Linked DNA regions of Macaca fascicularis. The protein of the gene in region 3 interacts with the protein of the main gene of each other region in a biochemical or structural test. Links are inferred from orthologs where the notes say so. Each region holds a gene or a part of one and is shown on either strand. Other genes may lie near its edges.

Region 1 (6,643 bases), on a different chromosome or scaffold from region 3:
AAAACATCCAAACAACCCGAGATAACCACACCATCTTGTTGCTGGGAGGTCAACAGCTCTGTGGGTGTCCCGTCTCAATTGCTCCAGGATGCCGACAGGGGTGTGTGTGGTGACGTTAGGGAAGAAGGCATTAGGACAGGCCTCAAACTGAGATCCCTTTTGTATCTTTCCATAGAAATACAGGCCTACATGATGCCATAATTGCATGCTTATCTACACCAGTTCCTATGTACACGGTATCTTTTCTATAGAAGTTTAAAGTGCCTGGGTTCAGAGGTGCCCATTCCCTTCCCACAGCTACTGGTTCCTCTTGCTGCTTCCAGAGAGGTCTGTCCTCCTCTCTCAAGGAGGATGCCCTTGGGAAAGAGGAATGAACATTTTCACAGTTGTCTTAACTAGGATCCAGCATTTGGACTAAACCTTCTTCATACACACGAAGAATCGCTTCACACACAAACTTGTACTGGCTCTGGAAAAGAAAAAAAAGCTGTCAAGTCCTGTAGCTTCAGGAAATGCTGCCTCCCACCCTGTACCGGTGGGTCTTTTGCAGCATTTGTAAACATTCCCTGAGCGCCAACTCTGGGCCACAGGCCAGGTACACCTGTGAAGCCCTAGTTCCATTATGACGCGGGGAGGGGGCACTCCCAGAGAGAGATGGACAAAGTGTCATGGAAACATGACAGAGGGAGGAACTGGCAGTCCGGGGGAGTTGGGAAGGAGCAAAGGTCCCTGCAGAGCGGCCATTCTTGTAAGTGGAAGTGTGGAAGCCCCAGTAAGAGCCCATTTTGAGAAATGGGGTCAGTGAGCCTGCTCTTGGACTCAACACCTGGGCATGTGGAGGAGGAGGGGTTGCCCAGGTGGGCTGGGACCTAGTTGTGGGCACCTTGTGCTGGGGTAAAGAGTCTGGATTGTTTTACAAAGCAGAGCCACTGAAAGAGGCTCTGCAGGATACACTTATTTATATTAGCAAATACCTAAGAAACATTATAGCAAAGTATACAGGGGGGCAAAAAAGCATTTAGTCTGAGCTTCTCTGGCTAGGAAAGTCAATCAATATCTATCTATCTATCTATCTATCTATCTATCTATCTATCTATCTATCTATCTATTCATTCTCCGGCTAGGAAAGTCAATCAATATCTATCTATCTATCTATCCATCGATCTATCTAGTTTTTGAGACCGAGTCTTGTTCTGTCACTCAGGCTGGAGTGCAGTGGCGTAATCTTGGCTCACTGCAACCTCCACCTCCCAGGCTCAAGCAATTCTCCTGCCTCAGCCTCCCAAGTGGCTGGGACTATGGACACATGCCACCATGCCTGGCTAATTTTTGTATTTTCAGTAGAGATGGGGTTTCGCTACGTTAGCCAGGTTGGTCTCGAACTCCTGATCTCAAGTGATCCACCTCCCTCAGCCTGCCAAAGTGCTGGGATTACAGGCGTGAGTCACCGTGCCCGGCTTCCAGCTGGGAAAATCTTCCAGGATGATGAACTTTTTTCTTTTTAACCAGTCACGAGGTCTTCCATAGCAAAAAACAAGGCAGAGAATGGCCCTAATAACATAAGCCGATTTTTTTTCTCTTAAGATTTTCTGGGTACAAACTAATATAACACTACCAAAGCTTAAGATCTATCAGGGAAATCTTATAAACTTTGTCCACAGCCAGTGAAGAGACACAGCTGGTTGGAACATACAGCTCCTGCTCCTTTCTTTGCTAACTCCTCACGTATCCTGGGGGTTTTGCCAGAGAGGCCACTTCTCTAGGAAGCCTTCTTAGACCTTCCAATCCTGCTTTAGGTAACTCTTCCACCATGTTCTCAGACAGCCCTCAACTTCCCTCATTGCTGCTGACACTTAGCATAGACTAATCCAGTTCTCATACTAGATACAAGCTTCAGTCTCTGCACCATTCTTTGTCAAATGAATGAATGAATGAATGAATGGATGAATGTGGGATGGTCCCCATTTTGCACAGGGAAGCTGAAGCTTGGAGAAAGGTTCAGGACTTATGCAAAGGTTGTTCCATTTGTGGTGCGGCCTTAATCATGCTCTTTCCACACCGCTTCACTGCCCCGCTTGCAATTCCAGGGGAAATCCCCAAGAGTTCCTCTTGAGGACAAGAGGATGTTGCACATGACCCTACTTTGAGCTCTGTCCTGCCCGTGGAGGACACTGCAGCTACTCAAGCACCACACGAGTGGGCCAGAGCTCAAAGTAGGGTCATATGCAACATCCACTGAGCCAAAAGGGGTACCCAGGTCTAGGTGGCGGGGGGGGGTGATGGACAAATAATTGTTCAATGATACAGAATGCAACCAGGGCTGTTTTCTGACAGACGGGCTGGCAGGAAATAAACCACAGAGGCAGCAGAGCTCAGAGGTGAGATGGGTGTGGGCTGTAGCCGCTGATAAGATCTGTGACCTTGGGCAAGTGATTCAGTCCCCCTGAGCTGCAGTCTGTTGACTCACAAAGCCCTTCTCTCAGGCCTGCCTGGTGTAAGTGCTCAGAAAGCGCCAGCCACTGTTATTACTGGATTTCTACTCACTGATGTCTGCACCATCATGGCGCGCTGGTCTCGCATTTTTCGGACAATATCCAGTGGGTAAACGGGCAGGTTCCTCTCAGTTAGGCACATGGCTGTTTCCATAGTGACCAACACACCGGTTCGACCTATTCCAGCACTGGAGAGGGGACAGAAGAGAGACTTGGGATTTGACTGAGTAGCCTTTTCTTCGCGTGGCCCAGCGAGCAGTTCCCCACTGACTCCAAAGGGACTTTCCTCCCCTAGCCTTTGAGAATACAAAACACACACTCAGGGTGTGCTCTCAAACAGGCTGAGACAGCCTCTCCTCACACATCCGAGGCTGGGGCCTAGCAGGCAGTGGAAAGAGGGCCACTGTGAAGTGCCAAACCCACTCTCTTTCTCACACACACCTATGACGAAGGTCAGCTGACAGAAGGACAGGAGAAAGGTGTGTGAGGGGACTTTCTTCTTCAGTTCTGTGCTACATTCACAAAGTTAGGATTTCATAAAATTCCAAATCACTTTTGAAATGGTGAAGAACCACAGTCAACAGAGGTTTGTAAGGGCACACTATTTTGTGGGATGTAGGGTGGGTCTGGCGCCTGCCAATTCTCTTCAGGCCTTTTCCAACGGGGAAAGGATTCCAAACCTAACAAAACAGCAAGCGCCATACCTGCAGTGAACTAGGACGGGCTCGCTGTCCACTCTCAGAGACCTCACATAGTTTACAAATTCCAGAAAGTCAGAGGAGTCATCGGGCACACCGTGGTCAGGCCACGCGACGTACTGGAGATGTGTCACTGTGTGTTCTTCTCCGGTCTGTGGGAGACGCAGTGGCCTTGGTGAGCCCATCCTGGTGGTCAGCATGAGGACCCAGCCCCAACCCAGACACAAGGGTGGCCCTGTCTCCTGATGCTTTCTCCCTCTGTGCACAGCCCCGCTGTGGCCACTAGCAATTCCTTCCCTCCTTCCCCAAAGATCCCCATCCCCTCTCAGGCTCCGCTGTGGGCCTGTCCTGCAGGGCTGCCTTCCTTGATCACTTCTGCCCAGATCTCCTCCATTTGCTCCTATGGTACTTGCCATTAGGGGCCACACATGCTCACTGTTTTTTTTTTGTTTTTGTTTTTTTCCAACTGTGGCAAAATACACTAACATGAGGCTTACCACTGTAACCACATGTAAATGTACAGTTCAGCGGCACTGAGAATACTTGCAATGCTGTACAGCCATCACCATTACCTATTTCCAGAACTTTAAAATATCCCACAAACATAAACCCCGCACTCATTATGCCATATGGCATAATGTCCATAGATCTCCTTTCTCCTCCTTCCCCAAGCCCTTGGCAACCGCTGTTCTACTTTCTGTCTCTATGGACTACTCTAGGCACTTCACAGAAGTCGAATCCTACAGTATGTGTCTTTCTATGTCTGGCTTATTTCACTTAGCATAATACACTCAAAGTTGCCCTATGTTGTAGCAGGGGTCAGAATCTCCTTCCGTTTAAAGGCTGAATCATATTCCATTGTATGGACAGACCATGTGCGGTTTATCCATTCCTCCGTCGATGGATGCTGGGCTGTTTGCACCTCCTGCCTGTTGTGACTAGGGCCACTATGAACTCTGGGCCTCAGGTGTTTGATGGGCAGTCTTGCGCGCTTACTGACACCAGATGGAAACAGAGGACACACCTAGAAGCGTGACCACCTGAAATGACAGCAGCCGCTGATTCAGCACCTGCCCCTCCACTGTGCCCCTCAGGCTGCGGCTCACCTGGGTGTTTGTGACCAGCATTTCTCGGGACACATAGGCAATGGTGCAGTCTTCTGACTGACACTGGATGTGAAAGCTGCCGTAGTCCATGACGTCGGGGGGATCCGGCCAGTACTGGTGACATTTGGTCTGTAAGGAACCACCGAGAGTATATGTGAGCTCCCTCTGTGGGGTGTCCATGCAAGCAGTTAACCCTGGACAGGCGGACAGGTTAGGCATCCTCTCATGCACACCCGAGAGAGCTGATGGGAGAAAACAAACTCAGCCAAGTCCATCAGCTGTTTCTCAGGGCGGGGTGGGGGCAGCCTGCCAGGGACCAGGCCATAGGTCTCCACTCAGCCCCAGGCTGCAGCCTGGAGGAGGAGGACGAGAGACGCAGCGTCTTCAGCACCAGTGGCCTCAGATGCAGGACCTTGGCCTGTGAGCAACCTCTCTACCCTCCCCGACCGCAGCCCCTCATGCCCCTCCCCGCCTCCAACGGCCCCTCATCCTGCACCCTTCCTCCACCATCCTCCCCACCCTTTTGAAGGGGAGGCCTCCAGGCATGGCAGTTAAGGGCACACATCTGGTGTCACACACAACTCCGCTGGGATCCTTTCCTCCTCCATTTGTCAGCCAGATGATGTCGAAACAGTTGCTTAACCTCTCTGATTTTCCTGTTTTCCACCAGAAAGATGGCGATGGCTCCTGCCTCAATGCTGGTGAGGCGGCTGGCATGGGTGTGCAGAGCTTAGCCGCTGTGGGGGGCAGGCCAGGGGTGGCCATTACTTCTGCTGCTGTCATGGGTTATATACCAGCTTGAGTAAGAGTGATGAGGTTCCACAAAAACCCAGATTAAGGGACTCCCAAATCGAGATGAATACCTTTCTCACTGGAGAAGTGTCTCCGAAGCCCCTGAAGGCTTTCTTAGGTGATGCCCTAAAGAGGTGATATCCCACACAGCAGACAAGGAACCCAGGGCTACTCGGGATTAAGTGACTTGCCCAAGGCCATGGGGCTGCAGTGATGCAGGCCAGCACTCTTCCTATGGCACCCCAGTGTCTTTCAATATGGCTGTGCTATCCCCACAGATGGGCTGATCCCACCACCCTCCCCAATTTCTATCCCCGCTTCTAAAACCTGCAGCTTGTCCTATAAGCCATCTTAGCACCTGCCTCTGGCTTCTAAGCAAACTTCAGGGCTAGGCTGTCCATCCCATCATAGATCCTTTTGTCATTTAGATCCTAACTTATTAAACAAGCATTTTCCCCCAAGCCTGTATGTGGTTATAGCAACTTAAGTAAGAATTACATTTGTTCATGGTGGAAAAGTGGTATAACCAAAAGACATGTGTAATTTGTTGGGAAACAGCCTCTCTATTCTTACTTTCAAATGTCACACTGAATACTTGAAATTAAAGTATGCCATCAGAAAGCTGGAGTTAAGAATTTACTTGGAAACCTTAAACATGGGTAATTTCGGCTAGTAGCCATTTTGTGACTTTGCTTAGACATGAGGGGTTAAGGGCTGTGGGGCCCAAGGCAGAGTTGACAGACACAAGTTCTCTCTCGCATCCTCATCTGCACAGGAAGGATAAATCCCTGCCCTGTAGGCTCCCAATGGTCCTGCCCACAAGATAACTGCAGGGAAGATATTCTCTGACGAGATCAACCTATGCAAGGCAGAACTACGAATATCTGTACTGCCAGAGAGGTTTCCCTTATTCCACAGTGAATCTGACCAGTACTAGACTCTCTCTTTACCTCTGACCAAATACAGATTGCAGCTCAATTTGGATCTGAAAAAATTGGGGGTGCAGTGGAAAGAACAAGTCTATGGAAATCCTGAGTTTCAACCTTGGTTAATAAATTCTACTAAACATATTTGGTTAGTGATCTCGGGCAAATTACTTAACTCCTTTGGGCCTCAGTCTCCACATTAATGCTGCTGCAATGAGGGGTGATGATGCTGAAGCCTCATATCTTCAGAACTGTAGATGCTAAGCACTGAATGGTGCCTTTCATGAACATGGCTTTACCTTGGCTTCAAAACAACCCTATGAGGTAGGTACTATGATTGTCTCTGTTTTGCAGATGAGTAAACTGAGGCTCAGAGAATGAATCAATGTGTGCCAGATCACACAGAGAGAACTGGGGCAGAGCTGGAATGACACAACAGGCCTGTGAGCCCTTAGCCAGGCTGATAATACTCTGGAATGACAAGAAAATGCACCTTCCTAGGGCTGTGGTTAAATTAAACAGTAACATATGCAAAGCTGAGCGTATGTAGGGAGGGAAGAAGCACTTCTTGAGAAGCGTCAATGGACAACGAAGGTCACTGAAGCTGGGAGGCCGGCAACATGCTGCTG
Region 2 (6,743 bases), on a different chromosome or scaffold from region 3:
GCCCACAAATCTAGTTCTGTCGTCAGATCTTTCTATTGGTCAGCTCTGTACCTCTGGCCTCCAGCCTGAGGCTGTTCACACAGGGGACACCAATCAGCCCCCTGTGTGACGATGAAGGCCAAACTCCTCCCCAGGGCCCACAAGGCCCCAGCATGGTCCGGCCCTGCTGATACACCCGCTCGTTCTACCTCTTACCCACTCCCCTTCATTGTGTACACTCCAGCCTCACAGCTTCTCCCACTGATTCTCCATGACAGCACACATCTTGGCACACACCCCAGGGCCTTTGCACGTGCACTTCCTGCTGCCTGGCAAGCCCTTTCCCTAACTCTATGCCTGGTCAACCCCTACATGCCTCCTTCAAGATTCCTCTGTACCCCAGGCCTCTCTCCCTGAGCCCTTATCATATCTGTGATTATACAGTAACTCAACTGGCAACTTGTTTGCAACTTTGCTCACCCTCCAGATTCAAACTTATGGGAGGCCAAGGACCTGTTCCCAGGCTCCCAGCAAGTATCCAACCAGGCTGACCACACCCCACCACCCCAGGGCCCCTGGGAAGGGAAAAAGAGCTCCCTCTCCCCTTCTTTGCTGAGTGAACTCTTGCTAGTCCTCAGCTCAGGCCCTGCCACCTTCTAGAAGCCTCCAAGACTCCCACAGCTCCCACTCCCTACTAACTCCAGCACAATACTGCTCAGCCCCAGTTCCAAGTTCCTGGTACACAGCAGGTGCTCAATACAGGGGTCACAAATGCTTATACATGGGGAGGTCTGAGAAAATGGGGTCAGCTGAGGACCAGAGAGATGGGCATAAGGTCCCTCAACAGGTCACCGAGCCATCTCCTCTCCGGTTCCTGGGGCTTGAGGGAGCCAGACATCCCTCCACCCCACCCCCCAGGTCACAATCAGAGAAGCAAAAGCAGGAACCAGGCTGAGCTGTGGGTAAGTCATGCTCCAAGAAGAGCTAGGGGACAGGGAGAGACAGCCAGGGCCCTTCTTCCTAGAAGAGATGGGCCTAAGCTAAGCCTGGTGGGGCAAGGGTAGATAAGCAGCACCTGGAGGAGAGGGCACTCCGGGAGGGACACTGTTTAGAAGCAAAGGCCCAGGGGCACGCGGGAGGGCCTAGGCAGGCAGTCAGCTGAGAGAGGTGACACACTGTAAATCATTTCCTTGGGTGGAAAGACCACATCACCACATCACCAAAAAGGCCTCGTGGCTTTCATTCAATCCCTCGGCACAACAGTCTTTTCCGGCCCTGCTGTGTGCGCAGTCCTGTCTGGGGAGCCTCCGCTGCCCCATCACTGGAGGGATGCAAGGGCAGCCAGACTGTGGTCTCTGAGGTCGGGGCTTTCATTCCAGCTTGCATCTGTATGGCCTTGGTCAAGTCACTTCCCCTCTCTTAGCCTCAGTTTCCCCATCAGCAAAATGAGGATAAACAAGAGTCCTTACCTCCTAAAAGGTGTTCAGTAGATGTTGGCAGCTGTCATTACCATTGGCCCAGTTTTATACGTGGCAAAACTGAGGCCAGAAGGGAAAAGTGAGTTGCTTACAGTCACCCAGCTGCTGGCTGGCAGGATGGTGCCAGGGCTGTTTCTTTCTCAAGGCATCAACCCATCTTCTTCTAGGATGAACTAGCCAGCAACCTCACATCTCACTTATCTTTCTCAGCCAATGCGTCCAGTGAACAATTCATTTATTGAGCATCTACTACATGCCAAGCCTCTACCTGCAGAAGCGCTTAGAATCTTCACCTGAGGATTCTCATTTCACGTATGGGGACTTAGTGGGGCAGTCTCTTGGCCCAGGTCACTGGGCAAGACAAGAAGCCTCAGTGCCTTGACTCCCCAGCCAGGGGGCTGAGAAGAGGGTCTGCAAAAGGACCAGCCTGGCCCACCCTAGAAACCAAGTCTGATCCCAGCTGCACTGTGGCTGTGGCTGGGCCTGGACTTACCCCAGGTGACCCAGCAACCACTGCCCCAAATTGTACAGAGTCCATGAAGTTCAGGAGGCCTTGCCCAGGGGCACACACAGGCTCTGTCCACTCCTAAGTCCACCTGAAGGACACAGGTGCTGAAAGGATACCACAAAGGTGAGCCCCTTCTGTTCACCCCATCCTTCCACCAGCCCAGCAATTCCAGCCAGGCCCACCTGCCACCAATGAGGACCCCAGTTCAGAGAGGCAGGCAGTTGTCTGAGGACACACAGCAGGGCAAGTGGCAGCCCTGGTGCAGGACTCAAACCCACCCCCAATCCCAGCCCAGGCAGACAGGTGGACCTGGCCCGGTGGCCAACACCCAAAACTTTTGCCAACTTCTGAGCCGGCTGGTGGCTGGGCCTGCTCTGGGGCGAGGCTGGGGGCTGTGGGCAGTGGAGACTAAACGCAGTCTGGCCCAGTCCCTTCCAGGCCGGCAGCACCAGGCCCTACCCGAGGCCCCAAGAGGGCAGGGAGGTCCTGGTGGTTCGGCCTGGCGCCCTGACTCCGGGGCCCCTCAGCCTGCCCTGCCGAGCCCCTCCACCTCCCACCCTGGGCCGGGGGGCGCAGGACCGGGCAGCCCAGCCAGAGGCGGCGCCGACTGGCTCAGATTTCAGATTTGGCCTAGACCTGGCCCGGGGGCTAGGGCCCAGCTCACCCGCTTCTCTGGGGGATCCTATGGGGAGCACTAGCTGGAGGGGGTCCCCACGCAGCCAGGACCCCTGCGTCCCCCCGCCCAGTCCCCTCCCCCCGCGGCATCACAACAAAAGGCCGCGCTGGGCATGGCCCTGTGCGCCCGCCCGGCGCTCGGGTATCGCAGCTCGGCCCGGGGGGTGGGAATTGGGGGGTGGACAGGAGCCCCCGCGGGCCCGCGATCCGACCCAGGTGGTCCAGGGCGGGGGCTCCCCCGCGCTGGCCGGGACTGGGGGCCCGCGGAGGGGCGGGGGGCGCTCACCTGGGCCGGCGGGCGGGCGGGCGCACCGGCAGACGGACGCACGGAAGGGCGGACCGCGGGACGGCCGGCGGGTAGGGCAGACGGCGGCCTGGCCGCTCCGGCTCCCAGGCCGGAATGGATTCCGGGCTGGGAGAGACAGATCGAGAGAGAAAGGGAGGAGGAGGAGGAGGAGGAGGCGGCGGCGGCCCGGGGAGGGGAAGAGGAGGGAGGGAGCGCGCGAGCTGGGAGGAGGGGCCCGGCAGGCAGCCGGGAGGAGGAGGAAGGAGGAAGCGCGCGGGGACGGATTCCCCGCCGGTGACCCGGGAGAGACCCAGGCACGGCCGGGGTCCGGGCGGGGTGGGGACACCGGGCACAGAGGCCCCGCCTCCCACTCCGCCAGGGCGTCCCACCCCGCGGGCCCCATCCGCCCCCAGGCCAAAATGCCCTCCTCGACCCACCCACCCTCTACGCCCCAAATCTGCCTCTCCCGAAATCACAATTAGTAATAATATCAGCGGGCGTGGAGCGCCCGCTCTGGGCCAGGCGCCAGGCTAAGGTGCTCAGGTCGACTTCAGGGTTTAATCCTAACCACCACCTGGCCTGAGTGGCGGAAGATCGCCCCACTTTACAGATGGGGAAACTGAGGCACTGACAAGAACCAGGCCCTGGACTTTAACCTTGACCTGAGTTTCTCAAAGTGGGGGCTGGGGCAGGAGGGACAGGGTGGGGAGGAGCGACCTTTATTTTAATAGTTGTGGGTTCATTTTAAAAAGTGCGTAAGGAAAAAACATCCCTGGCAGCCCATTGGAAGTACCCTAGTTCCAGTTATTACTGCTTAGGAGGGGTTGGCCAGGGCATCGGAGTGGCACTCACACTTCCAAGTAAGTAAAGAGGCTAAGTATCTCTGAACCAGGGCAGGAAGTGTAGCAGAAAAACGGGACATTGAGGAAACGCTGCTTTAGGCCACAAAGACTCCCCATCACCCCCTGGCACAGGCTCCAGGGCTATCCTTTTGGGGCTGGGCACCCCACCCTTGGCTCCTCACCTGTCCTGGAATCCTAGCACAGGGAAAGGTGGACCTGGGTCCTGCTTTAAATATCACACCTGCCTCCATGTTCCTTCTTTGAAAGTTCTCCCATTTCACAGATGGGAAATTAAGGCCCAGCCAGGTCAAAGACAAATAGAAGCCTTTGCCAAGCTTCTATTCCCTGGGCAAAGGTCCCCACTGAGAGGAGCCGGGAGGAGCACCCTAGAATGTGGAAGGCAAAGACCTCTGGGTACAAAATACCTTCCAGGAGACCAGGAATGAGCAAAGCCTTACTCTACACTGATCTAGGTTCGCATCTAGGCTAGCTGCCCCTCTGTTGTGGGGTGGACAAGTCCATCAGCTTCCCAGCCCAGCCCCCTCACCTGTAAAACCGGAGTGAACGTGGCCAGAGAAGATTCCTGGGAAGGCTGAAACTGACCAGTGTGAGGATGGTCGGGTTGTGCTAGATGAATAGTAGCTCTTCCGGTGATAAACTGAGGCCAAAGGGGAAAGGGGCTGCTTGAGGTGCCACAGCCAGTCAACAGCAGAAGCCAGGCGAAATGGCTGCCCTTGTTTGCAAGGCTGGCTTAAAGATTAACCGCAGCTTCTCAGGGCTAGGCGGGCCCCCGGCTGGAGAAGCAGGTTTCTCAGCCCTCTTCCATTCCTTAGACATGTCTAAAGGCCTTTACTGGCCGTACGGGGCTCGGGGGGAGGCAGGTATAGTCACCCAGTGACACGCTGGAGCTGGCCCTTGCCTACTTGCAAGAACCGACTGTGCTCATCTCTTCCCAAGTCCATATTCAAGAATGTCACACTGGTTAGCTCCATGTCAGCCACAGTGGGAGTATTTACCCCTTGGACATCAGAATACGCTACCAATGAAGCCTCTTTTTTCTTCCACAGAGCTGGTTGTTCAATATGTACCAGCACATCACTAAATTCATCCCCAGGAGTTCAACAGAAAATTCTGGGCTTTTCGAGAACTGGGATGACAGAGAGCTTAAAAGTACAGATTTTGGACCAGACCCAGGTTCAAGTCTCAACTCTGCCACTTTGCAGATAATGTAAGAAGCCTCAGTATGCCAACCTGAACAGTGGGCTAAAGATATCACAGCCCCCAGAAGACGCACGTAAGGATGAAATGAGGTGATGCCCGCTCAGCACATGTGAAATCTCATTCTCATTCATACCCTACACGCTCTTATCAGAGAGGAGGCAACTCAGACAAGTAAGGGTTCTGCAGGCAGATGCAGCTTCGCACCTGAAGCTACCGCGGGCTTCAAGGGCCTGGCTCAGTGGCTGAGGTTCTCAGGAGGATGTGGCCAGCACAATGGTTTCATTATTGAGCGTTTGAAGCGCTCTTTATTTTTAACCACCCCTCTGGGTTTTTGCTCAGGCTGTAACCCCTGCCAGGAATGCTCAGCCCCTGTCCCTGGCTACCTCGCCTTGTTCTTCAAAGTCCAGAGTAAATGCCACCTTCTCCACAACATGCTTCCTGACACACCCTGATGGAGGCACGTGCCAAGTCCATTCTGAGTGTGTCTGTCCCCACCCTGAAGGCAGTGACCAAGGCCTGGCCCATGCCCAGCACAGAGCAGGCACTGCCCAGTTGGCCAGGCAGCACACACTGACTTAGGACCTACAGACAAGAGTTCAAGTTCCAGCTCTTCCCTTCAGTGACTATGTGAACCTGCCTTCTCTGGGCCTCAGTGTACTCATCAGTAAAACGAGGGTAACAACCCTGGCAAGCTCCAGGATTATGCAGTTGGGAGTTGCGGGTCTGGCCTGGTGGACAAGTGACTCTTTGTGCAAATTATTTTGCTTAAAACATTCTTTGTTGGTAAAGCAGCAACTCACTGCTTAATTCCTGCAAATCATCATTAATGGACAGCAAGCATTTATTGACTACCAACTGTATACATGGCCCCAGACCAGTCTTAGAACACCAACAGGAACCACTTCCCAACCCAAAAGCACCCAGCAGATGATAGATGCTACTGACATCAATATTGCTGAGATGGTGAGTGCTGGTCGTATAGTCCTCTGTCTCCAGAAACCTCCTCTTCCCTCCTTCCCTCAACCTGGGTGGGTCAAAGCCACAACTGAGGGGAGGGTGGAGGAGGTAGGGTGAGGCAGTGAACCCACCAGTCAGAGTTGTCCCATCACATGGGATTAGAGGTGCTGCCCACACCACACCTAGTGCCCTGGTGCCTCTGGCTCAATGGTGGCTGATCTGCCATGCCCAGCCCCAGCCCAGCTCACCCTTGCTGCAGCAGCCAGGAAACTGGACCCATCACAGGCCTCAGTGGGAAATTCCAGACCAGCTCCGCCATTCTCCACATGGTGTGCTGTGAGTGGTCTAGTTGAAGCCACCGGGCTCAGGGCTACAGGATAGGGTTGGGTGAGGGATGGGCTCTAGCCTGAGGCTGTGGAATGGGCTTGGCACCTCCCCTGGCACTGCACTTCACAGTTTCCGCAGAGATGTCCTGCTGTGCAGGCCCTGGTCCCCTCCCCTCCTCTACCTGCCTCCTGCTGTCCCTTCACAAGCAGTCCCTGTCCTGAGGCCTTTGCACGTGCTGATCCCTCTGCCTGGAAGGTTCCCACCCCCTGGCCCTTGGCTGGGCTGCACTCATCCTTCCTCCTGCAGTGGTCATTTATTGAGCATCTACTATGTGCTAGGGTCTGCGCTACATGCTGGGATACAGCAGTGAAAAAACCAAGGCTGGTCTCTGGTCTCTAACTTAGAGGAGTCAGGGATGGGCAAGTACAGGGGCTGCAGGGCCCAGAGTGAGGCCCCTAACCCAGCATGTG
Region 3 (6,643 bases):
TGAACTATGATTCTATTTGGTAAAAAGAAATATATGACTAGGCATGGTGGCTCACCCCTGTAATCCCAACACTTTGGGAGGCCGAGGCTGGCAGATCACCTGAGGTCAGGGGTTCAAGACCAGCCTGGCCAACATGGTGAAACCCCATCTACTGAAAATACAAAAATTAACTAGGCAAGGTAGCATGTTCCTGTAATCCCAGCTACTCAGGAGGCCAAGGCAGGAGAATTGCTTGAACCCAGGAGGTAGAGGCTGCAGTGAGCCAAGATTGCACCACTGCACTCCAGCCTGGGTGACAGAGTGAGACTCCATCTAAATATATATATATATATGTGTGTGTGTGTGTGTGTGTGTTAGAACGTGCACAGATAAAAATAACTGGAGAATAATATTAATGTATGTTAACTTATATATACATATTAGAATGTGCACAGACAAAAATAACTAGAGGAAAAATATTTCAAATTATTAACAGTGGGGATAGAACTGCTAGGGCATTAATTTATATTTCATGTTTTAATTTTACCATTTTAACAATGTGTTATTTTTATTTTTATTTTTTTTGAGATGGAGTCTCGTTCTGTTGCCTAGGCTGGAGTGCAGTGGCGCAGTCTCAGCTCCCTACAAGCTCCGCTTCCTGAGTTCATGCCATTCTCCTGCCTCAGCCTGCCGAGTAGCTGGGATTACAGGCGCCCACCACCACACCCGGCTAATTTTTTATATTATTTAGTAGAGATGGGGTTTCACCGTGTTAGCCAGGCTGGTCTCAAACTCCTGACCTCAGGTCATCTGTCCGCCTCGGCCTCCCACAGTGCTGGGATTATGGGCGTGAGCCACCGTGCCCGGCCCCAACAATGTGTTATTTTTGCCATCAGAAATAAGATATGATAAAGGGAGAGTTGGTCCCCTTTTATAGTAAGAGCCCCAGAGAGACCCCTGAAAGGAAAGTCCTCCTTTCTGCAGAAAAGACCCTCGGACTCACGAGTGGGTGCAGTTGATGGGGCAAGACTGGCACGTGCCCTCCTCATCTGGAAACTTCCAGATGGGCATGTAGGAGAGGTCAGGTTTCACACCGCTGGGGCAGCGGGCCACGCAGAAGGGAGGGTCCTTATAGTGGGCACAGGCCACACACTGGTCAGCCTCCTGGGAGGGGCAGAAAAGGTTTGTAGGGGGCTGGCACTGACACCCCCAGGGCAGTAGGATCAGGCCCTTAGTTGGGTCCCCTTTGTGCTTCCCAAGGCCACCCAGCAGCAATTTTCACCATGCTCCTGGGACAAACACCTCTGCTCTTCACCCAATCTCTGTGGACCCTCCCTCGGGGCCCTCCTCCAAGCTTGATCCTGGGCGGGGACTTGAGCCAGAGAATGGGAGGCACCCAGAGAAGAAAACGCATTACCTAAGGTGTAACAGCGAGTAACAACAGTCACTGCTGCATAGAAAGCCTTTCCCGGGCTTCACTGTGCCAAGCCCTGTTTAATTTCATTCTCGCCACACCCCAGCAAGGTAGGTACTATTACAATACCCATTTTAGGAATAAAACACCAAGGTTGGAAGCAGGACCTGGGTCTGAATCCAGGTAGTCTGACACCTGAGCCCGCAGGGCTAACCACCCTAGCACAGCCACAGCCACAGCCACAGCCGCAAACGCAGACCTCCTTAGAACCTTTTCATAGTCTGAAGGGCCCCAGGGTCCCCCGGGCCCCCTTTCCTGCCACTCTGCTGCTGTTCGGGTCTGAGTGCTGAGCCCTCTCCAGGGATATTTTACCAGACGGCACACCCTGCCGCGTCTCGCCATCCTGCCAAGTCCCTGGCAATCCCCCTCGCTGCACCCCTCCACCCAGCTCTGAGCCCGCCAGCAGCTCACCGGTCCAAAACATGTCACTGAGCCATTCTGGGGCTGACACTCAGGGTGGCACGGCAAACAGTGTCTGGCATTCACATACTCCCTGGGGAGCCTGAGAGAAAGGACAGTGGTGAGCGGGTCTGAGAGGAGCCCCATGCACCCCTCCAGCCACCCCTCTCCTCTGCCCCTCATACCCCTGCAGTACTCGGCATTCCTCCACGCACTCCTGGCCCCGAAGGAACTGGCTGCAGTTGACACACTGGGTGGGCCCTGGACCCCAGCAGTGCCCTCGGGCGCACAGCTGGTGGCAGGCCAGGCCCTCGCCCACTGCAGTGAGGAGGAAGGGACCGCAGGGGACTTTTAGGGGAGGCCCCAGGTCCAAGTGAACCAGGGAACTGGCTGTGGGCATGGCTCTGGGCTGGAGGGGTGGGAACAGGTGGGGCCGATGTAGGGAGAGGAAGAGTTCTGAGATTTCAGAAACAGAGGGGGAGGGAAGGATGCCAAGGCAGGTGGGACCCAGCTAGAGAAGCCATGCCAAGAGGCCAAGCCAGCCAGAGCTGCACTGAGTCAAGAAGGGTGCACAGGGACAGGCAGTCTGCACAAGTCCAAGAACGCTGGTGCCAGGACCCCGTGGGCACTCTTGTGTGCTGGCAGATGGGGAGCACACACACTGGGCTCCCTGTCTTACCACACTCGTCCTCTGGCCGGTTGGCAGTGTGGAGCAGGGCTTGGTGCGGGTTCCGGAAGAGCTGGTCCCAGGGCACCGTGTGCACAAAGCAGAGGCGGGTGTTATGGTGGATGAGGGCCAGTCCACTGCCCAGTTCCCTCAGCGAGCGCAGCCCCAGCCAGCTGATGCCCAGCCCTTGCAGGGTCAGTGAGTAGGCGCCACTATGGGAGAAAGGAGGGCACCTTACCATGGTCCCCTTCCCGGACAGCAAAGGCTACTCTCATCTTCCTCCATCCCCAGCACACTCTGCAGACTTTCATGGAAAGGTTACTGCTATGTCCCAGGGGAACAGGAATACTCCCTCAGGCCCAAAGCTTCCCACAGGGACTCCTCCCTGGGACTCCTCTCCATCAGGCCCCTTCTTTCCCAGTACTCACTTGTGCAGAATTCGTCCCCGGATTACTTGCAGGTTCTGGAGGACGCTAAGGTCAGGCAGGCTGTCTGGCCATGCTGAGATGTATAGGTAACCTGCAGGCAGAGGGTGAGATTAGGGGAGTGGGGACAGGACACGGACTCCCAGCCCCGGCAGAGCAGGATGCAGAGACAGAGCCCACCTGTGATCTCTTCCAGAGTCTCAAACACTCGGAGCTGCTCCGGCTGAAGCGGGGCGGTGTTGGAGGCTGGGTCGCTGGAGGGATCAGGAGAGGAATCAGCAGGGCCAGGAACAGAGTGGACATCACTCCCAACACTGGCCGTGCCAGCCACTCCCCACCGTGAATGCCTTCACTCAAACCCTTTGCCCATCAAGCCCAGCTGTTCCCATCCTGGGCTTCAAAGCCCAGGCCTTAGTTTGGCAACATCTATCAAAACAGTATTTCTATCCTTTGATCTAGAAATCTTATTTCTGCCCGGGCACAGTGGCTCACACCTATAATCCCAGCACTTTGGGAGGCTGAGGCAGGCAGATCACAGGTCAAGAGATGGAGACTATCCTGGCCAACATGGTGAAACCCCATCTCTACTACAAATACAAAAATTAGCTGGGTGTGTTGCCGCTCGCCTATGGTCCCAGTTACTCGAGAGGCTGAGGCAGGAGAATCGCTTGAACCTGGGAGGCAGAGGTTGCAGTGAGCCGAGATCACACCACTGCACACCAGCCTGGAGATGGAGCAAGACTCCGTCTCAAAAAAATAAAATAAAAAAAGAAATCTTATTTCTAGGAATGTGGCCTAGGGAGACACTGGCCCAGAGCCACATATAAGGTGGAACTGTTTGTAAGAATGAAAATGGAACATGATCTAAATGTCTGTTAGTAAATAGGGGAGCTGTTAAATAAAACCCTGAGCCACCCAGCCACATAATAACAACCAACATTTAGGAGCACTTAGTATCTGCCAGGCACTGTTCTAAGAGCTTTACAAATACTAACTCATTCAAACTTTATAATCATCTGGCCAGGCGTGGTGGTATAACCACCTTACGAGGTTGGGACTGTTTTTGCCCCACTTTACAGATGAAGAAACTGAGGCACAGCACAAGAGTCACATGCCTAGTAAGTGGTAGAGCCGGGTTTCAAACCCAGGCAGTCTGGCTCCCAAGTCTGGGTTCTTAGCTGCCTCTCCTTGCTGCCGTCTGCTCTGCAGCTGTTGAAAGAACGAGGCGGTTCGGCAGGAACTGTCATGACCGGCTCTCAAAGCAAGGTTCAGACAGTGCTCCCCATATGCTCCCATTTACAGAAACAAACCTCCCCACCAAAACGATGAAAACCACACTTCACTGTGTGTGTGTCTACAGATGCATAAACAGTCTAGGTGAACACATGCACTGCTAACCATGGTCACCTCTGGAAAGGAGAGTGGAGGTAAAGGAAGTGTGAAAGATAATTTTTATTTTATTTTTTTGAGACAGGATCTTTCTGTCACCCAGGCTGGAGTATGGTGGCATGATCTCAACCCACTGCAGCCTCCACCTCCCAGGCTCAGGTGATTCTCCCACCTCAGTCTCCCTGGTAGCTGAGACTACAGGTGCATACCACCATGCCTGGCAAATTTTTTGTGTTTTCTGTAGAGATGGGATCTCACTATGTTGCCCATGCTGGTCTTGAACTCCTGGACTCAGGCAATCTTCCTGCTTCAACCTCCCAAAGTGCTGGGATTACAGGTGTGCACCACCACACCTGACCCCCTTTTTTTTTTTTTTTTTTTTGAGACAGGGTCTCACTCTGTCGCCCAGACTGGAGTGCAGTGGCAAAATTATCTCAGCTCACTGCAACCTCCACCTCCCGAGTTCATGCGATTCTTCTGCCTCAGCCTCCCAAGTAGCTGGGACTACAGGCGCATGCCACCAAGCCTGGCTAATTTTTTGTATTTTTAGTAGAGATGGGGTTTCACCATGTTGGCCAGGATGATCTTGAACTTCTGACCTCAAGTGATCTGCCTGCCTCAGCCTCCCAAAGTGCTGGGATTACAGGCGTGAGCCACCGTGCCTGGCCCCAATTCATTTTTTATCGAAGTATAACTTATATTTTTATTGAAGTATAACTTATACAATAAAATGCGCCGGGCATGGTGGCTTACGCCTGTAATCCCAGCAGTTTGGGAGTCTGAGGCGGGCAGATCATGAGGTCAAGAGATTGAAACCATCCTGACCAACATGGTGAAACCCCATCTCTACTAAAAATACAAAAATTATCTGGGCGTGGTGGCACACACCAGTAGCACCAGCTACTCGGGAGGCTGAGGCAGGAGAATCGCTTGAACCCAGGAGACGGAGGTTGCAGTGAGTCGAGATTGCACGACTGCACTCCAGCCTGCCGACAGAGCGAGACTCCATCTCAAAAAATTAAATTAAATTAAATTAAAATTAAAATAAATAAAATGTAGACTCTTAGCATACAGTTTGATGAGTTTTGACAAATGGATTCACTCATGTATCCAATACCCCAATCAATATACAGAACATTTCTATTACCCCAGAAATGTCCTCATGTCCCTCCCGTTTGAGGCCCCCCACCCTAGGGCAACCACCATTCTGATCTCTCCCACCAGAGTGGTCTTGTCTGTTCAGAGCCTCACATAAAGGGGATCAGACAGTATGGAATCTTGTCTCTGGCTTCCTTTGCTCAATGTAATGTTTCTGAGATTCATTCATGTTGTATCAGTAGTTCGTTTCCTTTAGTTGCTAAGTAGAACTTCACCAAATGGACATACTGCTTTTCCTTCATACTTGTTTATTCCTTCACCGAGTGATGCACATTTGAGTTATTTCCAATTTGGGGATATTTTGAATAAAGGTGCTATGAACTCAAAGGGAATTTTTTTTTTTTTTTTTTTTTAGACGGAGTCTTGCTCTGTCACCCAGGCTGGAGTGCAGTGGCCGGATCTCAGCTCACTGCAGGCTCCACCTCCCGGGTTTACGCCATTCTCCTGCCTCAGCCTCCCGAGTAGCTGGGACTACAGGCGCCCGCCACCTCGCCCGGCTAGTTTTTTTGTATTTTTTAGTAGAGACGGGGTTTCACCGTGTTAGCCGGGATCGTCTCTCGATCTCCTGGCCTCGTGATCCGCCCGTCTCGGCCTCCCAAAGTGCTGGGATTACAGGCTTGAGCCACCGCGCCCGGCCTCAAAGGGAATTTTACTTTATCTAGGTGGTCTGACCTCCATACAAGTCCTTGTTCACGGATAGCATGTCATTTACAAAAATAACCCCTCCCACCCCAAAGACCGTGCTCCCTCTGGTCTCCCATCTGCTTTCTTTGCATTCTTGCCCTCCCCCCCCATCAACTTCTGTCTCCTGCCATCCCCGAGAGATGCTGCCACATCTGGATCCTCAGGACTCTGTCTGCCCTGACACTGTCTCAGGCCATTGTGCCCACTCTTACCCATCAAAGCTCTCTGGCAGAAATGCCAAACTCCCAAAGATCTTCTTGCAGCCAGCAAACTCCTGGATATTGGCACTGGTGACCGCCCTCACCTCTCGCAAGTGCTCCATGCCCAGACCATAGCACACTGAGGGGGTGGAGGTGGGTGGGTGGGGAAGGGGCTGTCTCAGCCTTCACACCGGGACAGGTTAACAGCTACACGGGCATCAGGGTCCAGGCCCCTCCCCACACTGACAGAGGACATAGGGACGCTTGT

The links.
Region 1: of the proteins of ERBB2 (region 3) and PTPN3, one has a biochemical effect on the other in vitro, tested with the Homo sapiens proteins (2 studies listed by IntAct, with this or other methods). The link is inferred for Macaca fascicularis from reciprocal best matches to the Homo sapiens genes ERBB2 and PTPN3.
Region 2: the proteins of ERBB2 (region 3) and SRC form a complex in vitro, tested with the Homo sapiens proteins (3 studies listed by BioGRID, with this or other methods). The link is inferred for Macaca fascicularis from reciprocal best matches to the Homo sapiens genes ERBB2 and SRC.

Annotation. Positions count from the first base shown.
Region 1 is NC_088389.1:48,730,820-48,737,462, reverse strand, and holds part of PTPN3 (tyrosine-protein phosphatase non-receptor type 3), read right to left. Parts: intron 4,426-6,643; coding exon 4,297-4,425; intron 3,343-4,296; coding exon 3,197-3,342; intron 2,681-3,196; coding exon 2,545-2,680; intron 470-2,544; coding exon 392-469; 3' UTR 1-391.
Region 2 is NC_088384.1:93,452,486-93,459,228, reverse strand, and holds the start of SRC (proto-oncogene tyrosine-protein kinase Src), read right to left. Parts: upstream 4,499-6,743; 5' UTR 4,316-4,498; intron 3,043-4,315; exon of another isoform or gene 2,927-3,042; intron 2,070-2,926; exon of another isoform or gene 1,951-2,069; intron 1-1,950. UniProt on the Homo sapiens protein: Non-receptor protein tyrosine kinase which is activated following engagement of many different classes of cellular receptors including immune response receptors, integrins and other adhesion receptors, receptor protein tyrosine kinases, G protein-coupled receptors as well as cytokine receptors.
Region 3 is NC_088390.1:60,774,375-60,781,017, reverse strand, and holds part of ERBB2 (receptor tyrosine-protein kinase erbB-2), read right to left. Parts: intron 6,515-6,643; coding exon 6,388-6,514; intron 3,199-6,387; coding exon 3,125-3,198; intron 3,039-3,124; coding exon 2,948-3,038; intron 2,732-2,947; coding exon 2,532-2,731; intron 2,171-2,531; coding exon 2,038-2,170; intron 1,956-2,037; coding exon 1,865-1,955; intron 1,144-1,864; coding exon 983-1,143; intron 1-982. UniProt on the Homo sapiens protein: Protein tyrosine kinase that is part of several cell surface receptor complexes, but that apparently needs a coreceptor for ligand binding. Essential component of a neuregulin-receptor complex, although neuregulins do not interact with it alone.